Linked DNA regions of Macaca mulatta. The protein of the gene in region 1 interacts with the protein of each later gene in a pairwise test. Links are inferred from orthologs where the notes say so. Each region holds a gene or a part of one and is shown on either strand. Other genes may lie near its edges.

Region 1 (4,579 bases):
AGTCTTGTGGTAAGGTTAAGTTTAATTATATTTAAAAAGCCCAACCAACCTATTTTCCAGAGTGTCTATACCATTTTGCATCACCATCAGCAATGTATGAGCGTTCCAGTTGCTCCATACCCTCACCAACACTTGATATTGTTTATTTTTTAAAAGTCATTCTTGAATGGCTGGGCATGGTGGTTCATGCTTGTAATCCCAGCACTTTGGGAGGCCAAGGCGGGAGGATCATGAGGTCAGGAGATCAAGACCATCCTGGCTAACACGGTGCAACCCCATCTCTACTAAAAATACAAAAAAAAATTAGCCAGGTTTGGTGGCAGGTGCCTGTAGTCCCAGCTACTTGGGAGGCTGAGGCAAGAGAATGGCGTGAACCCAGGAGGTGGAGCTTGCAGTAAGCCAAGATTGCGCCACTGCACTCCAGCCTGGGTGACAGAGCAAAACTTGGTCTCAAAAAAACACACACACACACACACAAACACAAAACAAACAAACAAACAAAAAATTAGCTTGGCATGGTTGTGCACACCTGTGGTCCCAGGTACCTGGGATGCTGAGGCAGGAGAATCGCTTGAGCCCAGGAGGCAGAGATTGCAGTGAGCCAAGATCATGCGACTGCACTCCAACCTGGGCAACAGAGTGAGACTCTATCTCAAAAAAATAAAACATCATAAAATAATAATAATAACATCAATGCACACCCCAGAACTTCATCTAGTTTGTTCATGTTCCCAGTGCAGTGATGCAATCACGGCTCACTACAGCCTCAAACTCCTGGGCTCAAGCAATCCTCCCACCTCAGCCTCCCGAGTAGCTGGGACCACAGGCATGAACCAACATGTCCAGCTAATTTTTGTATTTTTAGTAGAGACAGGGCCTTGCCATGCTGCTTAAGCTGATCTTGAACTCCTGGCGTCAAGCGAACCTCATGCTTTGCCTCCAAAAGTGCTGGGATTGCAGGTATGAGCCACCTCACCCAACCAAAACCGTATTTTTTTTTTGAGATGGAGTCTCGCTCTGTCGCCCAGGCTGGAGTGCAATGGTGTGATCTCGGCTCACTGCAACCTCTGCCTCCTGCGTTTTCAAGCAATTCTCCTGCCTCAGCCTCTGGAGTAGCTGGGATTACAGGCATGCACCACAACAGCAGGTTAAGTTTTGTAGTTTTAGCAGAGACGGGGTTTTGCCATGTTGGCCAGGCTGGTCTTGAACTCCTGACCTCAGGTGATCCACCTGCTTCGGCCTCCCAAAGTGCTGGGATTACAGGTATGAGCCAATTCACCCAGCCAAAATCTTTTTTTTTTTTTTAAATCTCAGATCCTGAGAATGACCATATGAGGTAGGTATAATGTAATTTTCATCTCATGAATGAGGTTCAGAGAAGTCAGGTGACTTGCCCAGGGCCACACAGCTAGTGGGCAGAGAGCTGGAATTTGAGCTGGAGTGTGCCCATAGCCCTTCCGCATACCCTCCCTGTCTCTTGAGTGTGGCCCGTAACCCCAGCCTCACCTGGTGGTGGCAGATGTGGCCTCCCCACTGAGGGCTTCTCTGTGATGTCCCACAGCCCTCATCCTCACCCATGGACACATTCAGGCTGTTGTCCAGAGAGCCTGGCTGTAATTTGAGTCTCACCAAGCAGGGGGTGACGGTGTGGGTGGGCGGGTGACAGCCAGGGCAGGGAGATTTGCCCAGACACTGGTACACAACAGCCTGGCAACCCGTGTGGCCCCGAGGAAGCTGGGAGCCTTCAGCGTGCATCCCCGAGTCTGGGCTGTGGTTCACACCATGGGCAACAAGCAGACAGTCTTCACACACGAGCAGCTGGAAGCGTATCAGGTAGAGGGGTCAGGAGGGGTCCTCAGTGGGTTTGACAGCTTTGGTTCCGTGGTCTGGGAAGTGGGAACAGAATCCCTTCATCCGGGTGTACCGTCTGCCTGGGTTCCTGGTTCGTTCGGCTCTGTGTGTGGCAGCATTGGGCCATCTGTGTGAGTGTGGGGTGGAGGGAGGAGGCCATGGGAGGAGGCCCCAGAGGCAGGGTTTGGGTTAAGACAACACCTCTCTCCACAGGACTGCACGTTTTTCACAAGGAAGGAGATCATGAGGTCAGTCCAGGGAGGTGGAGAGAAAAGATCTGGAAAAACAACTTTCTATTCATTGCTGGAGGATATTTGCAATTTGGGGTGTGTGTGTGTGTGTGTGTATGGTCCTTCTTCCCTTCTTCCCTTCTTCCCTTCTTCCCTTCTTCCCTTCCTCCCTTCCTCCTTTCCCCCCTCCTCCCTTCCTCCCTTTCTCCCTTTCTCTCTTTCTCCCTTTCTTTCCTCTTTCGTTCCCCTCCCTCCCTCCCTCCCTCCCTCCCTCCCTTCCTTCTTTTCTTTTTTGTTTGAGATAGGTCTCTATTGCCTAGGCTGGAGTGCAGTAGTGCAATCGCGGCTCATTGCAGCCTCGATCTCCGAAGATCAGGTGATCCTGCCACCTCAGCCTCTCGAGTAGCTGGGACCACTGGTGCGAGCCGCCATGTGCACCTCATTTTTGTATTTTTTCGTAGAGATGGGAGTCTCACTACGTTGCCCAGGCTGTTCTTAAACCCCTGGGCTCAAGCAATCCACCTGCCTCAGCCTTCCAAAGTGCTGGAATTACAGGTGTGAGCCACCATGCCCAACTGGTATTTCCAATTTGATGGGACTCAAATGGGGAAGGGGGGCAGGTGTGGTCAGTGCATGGAGGCAGAGATGGAAAAGCTGAGAAGTCACATCTTGTCACATTGTCCCAGTCTGTAGGCTGATGAGCTTGGGCTTTCTCCCAAGGGTGGCAGGGAGCCATGGAGCATGCATGAGCAGGGCAGAGAGCATCAGCTTGTTAGAAAGAGTCTCCTGAGGCTGGGCACGGTGGCTCACGCCTGTAATCCCAGTACTTTGGGAGGACAAGGCAGGTGGATCACCTGAGGTCAGGAGTTTAAGATCAGCCTGGCCAACACGGTGAAACCCCGTCTCTACTAATAATACAAAAATCAGCTGGGCGTGGTGGTGGGCGCCTGTAATCCCCGCTACTCGGGAGGCTGAGGCAGGAGAATTGCTTGAACCTGGGAGGCGGAGGTTGCAGTGAGCCGAGATCACGCCGCTGCACTCCAGCCTGGGTGACAGAATGAGACTGCGTCTCAAAAAAACAAAATGAAAGATAAAGATTCTCCTGAGACTGGGACTTGAGGCTGGGAGCCCAGGTGCAAAGTCCAGAGCCCACTACGGGTTGCAGGCTTGGCATTAAGGTGAGGGTATGGGGAGGTGGCCCAAGGCTGCTGCATGTCCCTGGTGTGACCGAGCACGATGGGCACAGATGAGAATCCCATATCATCACTCAGCCTGTGGGGCCATTGTCCAGGGGCCCCGGCCCATGAACTTGGAGCTGTGAAACCCAAGCTGGCCAGGGTTCGGCTGCAGTGTGATCGGGGCCAAGGCCCCAATTGTGTAGTAACAGGACATCCATTATTGATGGCCACACCTTTTACTCGTGAGCCCCATTGTCTGGGTGAGGACAGCTTGCAGGGTCACCTTGGCCATCATGATCAAATTACCGATGGGGAAACTGAGGCTCAGACAGGGTAGGGCTGACCCCAGGCTGAAGGGTAGATGCACAGAGCCCCAAGGCGGTTGAAGGCTGACATTTCGTCTGTCCCAAACTTCTTGCTTATCAGATAGAATAACCAAGGCACAGAGCGGGAGAGGAACTTGCTCAGAGCCATACAGAAACCTAAACCCAGGATATTCCCTGAGGGGACCCCGACAGGGAACTGAGTGGTCAGGAGGGAAGTTCTAGGTCTCCCCACCCTACCTTCATTGAATTCCTAGTCATCATATGACCCAGGGACTCGTGTCTCTCTCAGAGAGAGTCCCTAGCAGCTTGGGAACCTCAGACCCACCAAGGATGGTCTCTGCAAGGCTGCTGCTCAGCATGCCCTAATGAAGGTATGGTGTCACCAGGTGAGGGTGTCTGAGTGGAGAACTGGCCTTACAATCTAGATAGTGTGTGTGGTATTCAGTTATTTGCAAAATGCCTTTTGTCTGCCCTTTAGAAAAACGTGAATATTAGCTGTGTGCCTCTGCTCTGACCCGTTTGAGGAAACCGTCCCCCCCCTTTTTTTTTTTTTTTTTTTTTTTTGAGATGGAGTCTCATTCTTGTTGCCCAAGCTGGAGTGCAGTGGCATGATCTCGGCTCACTGCAACCTCCTCCTCCCGGGTTCAAGTGATTCTCCTGCCTCAGCCTCCCAAGTAACTGGGATTACAGGTGCCTGCCGCCATGCCCAGCTACTTTTTTGTATTTTTAGTAGAGATGGGGCTTCACCATGTTGGCCAGGCTGGTCTCGAATTCCTGACCTCTGATGATCCGCCCACTTCAGCCTCCCAAAGTGCTGGGATTATAGGTGTGAACCACGGCACCCAGCCCCTTCCTCCCATTATGAGGAGAGGAACGGAATGTATGAAAGTGAAGGTATCTTTGGAGGCAGGGTCTTGCTGATAACATGACGATATCCAGAGATGTGTGGATTATAGAGGATTCTCTGAATGCTTGCTGTGATCTGGCCATAAGC
Region 2 (3,813 bases), on another chromosome or scaffold:
TGGCTGGAGGGGACTGGAGTTGAATATTTATCTTCCCCCAGGTCTGTTAGGCTCTGCTAAAATAGTTTTTCCTGAGAGCAGGCCTTGTGAAGACCAAAATGGTCTGCAATTTCAAAATTGTTCCTTTTCCGCTTCCCCTGTCAGAAACATGAGATTTTTCTCTGATATTTACTGTGAGGAACTGGTATATTTCCTGGAGGTAAAACTTACGAATGTGTGGGAGCTCTCCAATGATTGGGTCCTCCTGGAGTGTTTGTTTGTTTGTTTTGAGACCGAGTCTTGCTCTGTCACTCAGGCTGGAGTGCAGTGGCACGATCTCAGCTCAGTGCAACCTCTGCCTCCCAGGCTCAAGCAATTCTCCTGCCTCAGCCTCCTGAGTAGCTGGGATTACAGGCACGTGCCACCACACCAAGCTAATTTCACAGACTTGTCCACACAGCCTCCAGCAATTGCTTAATTACAGCTTAGGTTTTCCTACCCAAGGACTGCGTCCCCTGGAGGTTTCTGCTCATGGGTTTTTGGTCCAGTAAATTGTGATTCTCTATATTCACCTGTCTGTATCTCCAGTTTTGTTTTGGGGGCAGCTGTTTGCCCTATAACCTCACTTCACTAACAAATATAAAAAAGAGTTGTTGATTTTTCAGGTTGTTCAGCTTTTTACTTGTTATTACGACAGAGTGGCAGCTTCTAAATGTCCTTACACGCCAGACTGGAAACTGGAAATCTTGTGTCTTAGTTTTTACATTTATCTTTCCTCTGTGGGACGAGTCAATGCTATAGTCATGTGTGTGTGTGTGTGTGTTTCAAATTGTTGGTTAACAGTTATTTGAAAAGAAGTACATGAAAACGTGCATATTAAGAAATCTTGGGCCAGGTGCGGTGGCTCACACCTGTAATCCCAGCATTTTGGGAGGCTGAGGCAGGTGGATCACAAGGTCAGGAATTCGAGACCAACCTGGCCAATATGGCAAAACCCCATCTCTACTGAAAATACAAAAAGTAACCAGGCATGGTGCAGGCACCTGTAGTCCCAGCTACTCAGGAGGCTGAGGCAGGAGAATTGCTTGAACCCAGGAGGCAGAGGTTGCAGTGAGCCAAGATGGCACCACTGCACTTCAGCCTAAGGCGACAGAGTGAGACTCTGTCAAAAAAGAAAAAAAGAAAAGAAAAGGAAAAAAAAGGAAGGAAGGAAAGAAAGAAATCTTGAAATGCAATTGCATATTCACTAACACAACTCTATCTGTGCCTCATATTTCCTTTTCCGGGCTCCCATATTTGTGTGCTCCCATAACCGTGTCCCTCAGCATTTGCTTTCCAGCCTGCTAACCTCTGGCACTACTTTGATTCTTCATTACTCCCCCTTACATTTTCAGTAAAAATAAAATGAGTGTAACTGAAGTTAGAATCTGACTCTTTATACAAAGCTATGGAGCAGCAGGAAATTCTGAGGTTAAGTTTCTCAATGCTACATTCTTTAAAAACATCGGTCAGCAACATTATTGTGTAGGCACTTGTCGGTTCAAGGGAATTGGTCCTGTATTTTATTATTACAGGGCTGTTACCATTTCCTACATTTCAAATAAAAGAAATTGATGTTACCTCAAAATATCTTAGTTATATCTGAGGTGGAGAATGAGGAATATGATGTGAACTTTTGTGTGTTGGAATCCTAGTTCATTTATAAAAGCGGGCCTGTGTGCTTTTGTGTCCATCTCTTGCTGACATGGCCAACTCAAACCTAAAGTTCTTCATCAAGAGGAAGAACCAACCTTTTTGTGGTATTCAGATGAACCACAAATGAATCTGGATATATGGTTTCATATTTTATATTGATTGTTTAGCCTTAGTATCACAGGCAGAAGCTCTGAAGGAAGAAAATGACAGCCTCCGTTGGCAGCTCGATGCCTACCGGAATGAAGTAGAACTGCTCAAGCAAGAACAAGGCAAAGCCCACAGAGAAGATGACCCAAACAAAGAACAGCAACTGAAACTCCTGCAACAAGCCCTGCAAGGAATGCAACAGGTAAAGGCATTTTGGTTTTCTGAGCTTCTGGGTAGAATAGCATCAGCTTCTCACCTGTAGAAGAGTCCCCTGCAAGCAAATCGAATATCAAACCTATTCTTCTTCTTGATGTAATATTATCTGGCATGGCTGAGGAAGGAATTATTGTTGTGGTTAATTAAATATTCCAGTTAATACAGAGATAGCAATGGATTGCCAATTTTCAAAGAATGAGCATTAAATGAAAAATATTTAACATTAGACTACACTGAACATAATCTAATCTTTTCCTTATGCTTCAGAAGGTACTTAGGGATCTAGACAGGGCCTCAGGGTCTTTACGAAGAACCTCAATTATTTAGATATGAAAAAATGCTGATGAACACATATCTAGTTGATAGAATACCAAGAAATATAGCCTTTTAAAAGGAATGGCAGGAATCTACCCTTGATTTGAGTAGAAATAGGTACATTATAGGTTTTTAAGTGTCAATGCTTTGAGCGCATAATACCAACTTGTTTTTATTTTGTTTTGTATTAACAGTCACTTATGTGAATGAGTTTACCTGTGCATAATTCAAAGTGTAAAAAGCAAAGTAAATAAATGCACCCAACTGTGATTGCATTCACAGAAGTGTAGCAGATGTTCAACATCTAGGAGTTTTATGTAACCATCACCACAGTGATTCTACAGTTTAAAAGTTATCAACAGCTGCCTTCACTATAGTAAAGGAGTAGTGCCTCTGAGTAAGGCCACTGTTGTCTTCTGTCATGCTAGACTACCAGCCATTGTCCTTATACCTTAAATTGTGCAATAGTTTTTAACTGTATGCCTTGAAATTATCTAGGGCAAAGCAAATTGCTGGTTGGAAATTACAAATCATGAACAATGGTCTATTCTGGCACTAGGAACCCTAAGTTATTCTTTCTGCCACCATTGTCTTCCTATACAACAAGTAATATGACATTAATATTTCACCTTTTCTGTTAACAAAATGTGTGAAGTAATGCTCACCTTCCTTTTACCATCACCATGGAGTTTAATTAGAACATGTAAATTATATCATAGATCTTTCTATGGAAAAAATGCACCTCCTCACCTACACTTCAAAGAATTTTGACAATGTACATTGTACCATGCTTTTTAGCCCTTCCAATGGTCTTTTGCAAGCCTCTGAAAAGCACGACTTTGGAAATATTTTTGTTGTTGCTGTTTTTCCCCTCTTTGATTTTCAAACCATTTCACATAAGGATAGTTCTGCTACTTAAATGAAATTCAAAAATGATGAAATTTTATTTTGTTTCATCACTTCAAAGACCTCAGTGAGAATTAGGTCTCTACCTCTTAAAAATAATTTCACTCGTTTTGATTATTTTGTATTGAAAAAAAAATGCCTTGTAAACGATGATAAAATTTCTCCCATCTTATCTCAAAAGATGTATAGTATAATAAGGTGTGTAAGGACATGAACTCTGGGGTTGACCCAACCTGCTTTTAAATCCCAGCTCTGCTACTGACTATCTGAATGGCATTAGGGAAGCCACTTAACCTCTCCTAGCCTTAGGGATCATAGTAACATAGGGTCATTGTGAGGCTTAATTGAGACCGTGCATATAAAACCCTTAGCACAATGCTTAGTACATATTAGGCACTCAAATAAATATTATTTGTTGAAATTATTAGTAATGAAATTATTAGTAATTAGCTAAATATAGCTTCCTGCCTACTTATATGGAAACTAACATATGTAAAATTTGGATTCTTTACTACTTTCCTCATAGAAATTGAACTTGGCTTGGCAAATGGCTAT

What was found.
Region 2: the proteins of CIB3 (region 1) and ENOX2 interact in binary tests that used the Homo sapiens proteins (3 or more experiments, as listed by UniProt). The two-hybrid records come from large-scale screens. The link is inferred for Macaca mulatta from reciprocal best matches to the Homo sapiens genes CIB3 and ENOX2.

The regions. Positions count from the first base shown.
Region 1 is NC_133424.1:16,649,680-16,654,258, reverse strand, and holds the start of CIB3 (calcium and integrin-binding family member 3), read left to right. Parts: upstream 1-1,738; 5' UTR 1,739-1,782; coding exon 1,783-1,833; intron 1,834-2,064; coding exon 2,065-2,099; intron 2,100-4,579. UniProt on the Homo sapiens protein: Acts a an auxiliary subunit of the sensory mechanoelectrical transduction (MET) channel in hair cells. Plays a role in regulating hair cell MET channel localization and function.
Region 2 is NC_133426.1:137,100,907-137,104,719, reverse strand, and holds part of ENOX2 (ecto-NOX disulfide-thiol exchanger 2), read left to right. Parts: intron 1-1,841; coding exon 1,842-2,023; intron 2,024-3,813. UniProt on the Homo sapiens protein: May be involved in cell growth. Probably acts as a terminal oxidase of plasma electron transport from cytosolic NAD(P)H via hydroquinones to acceptors at the cell surface.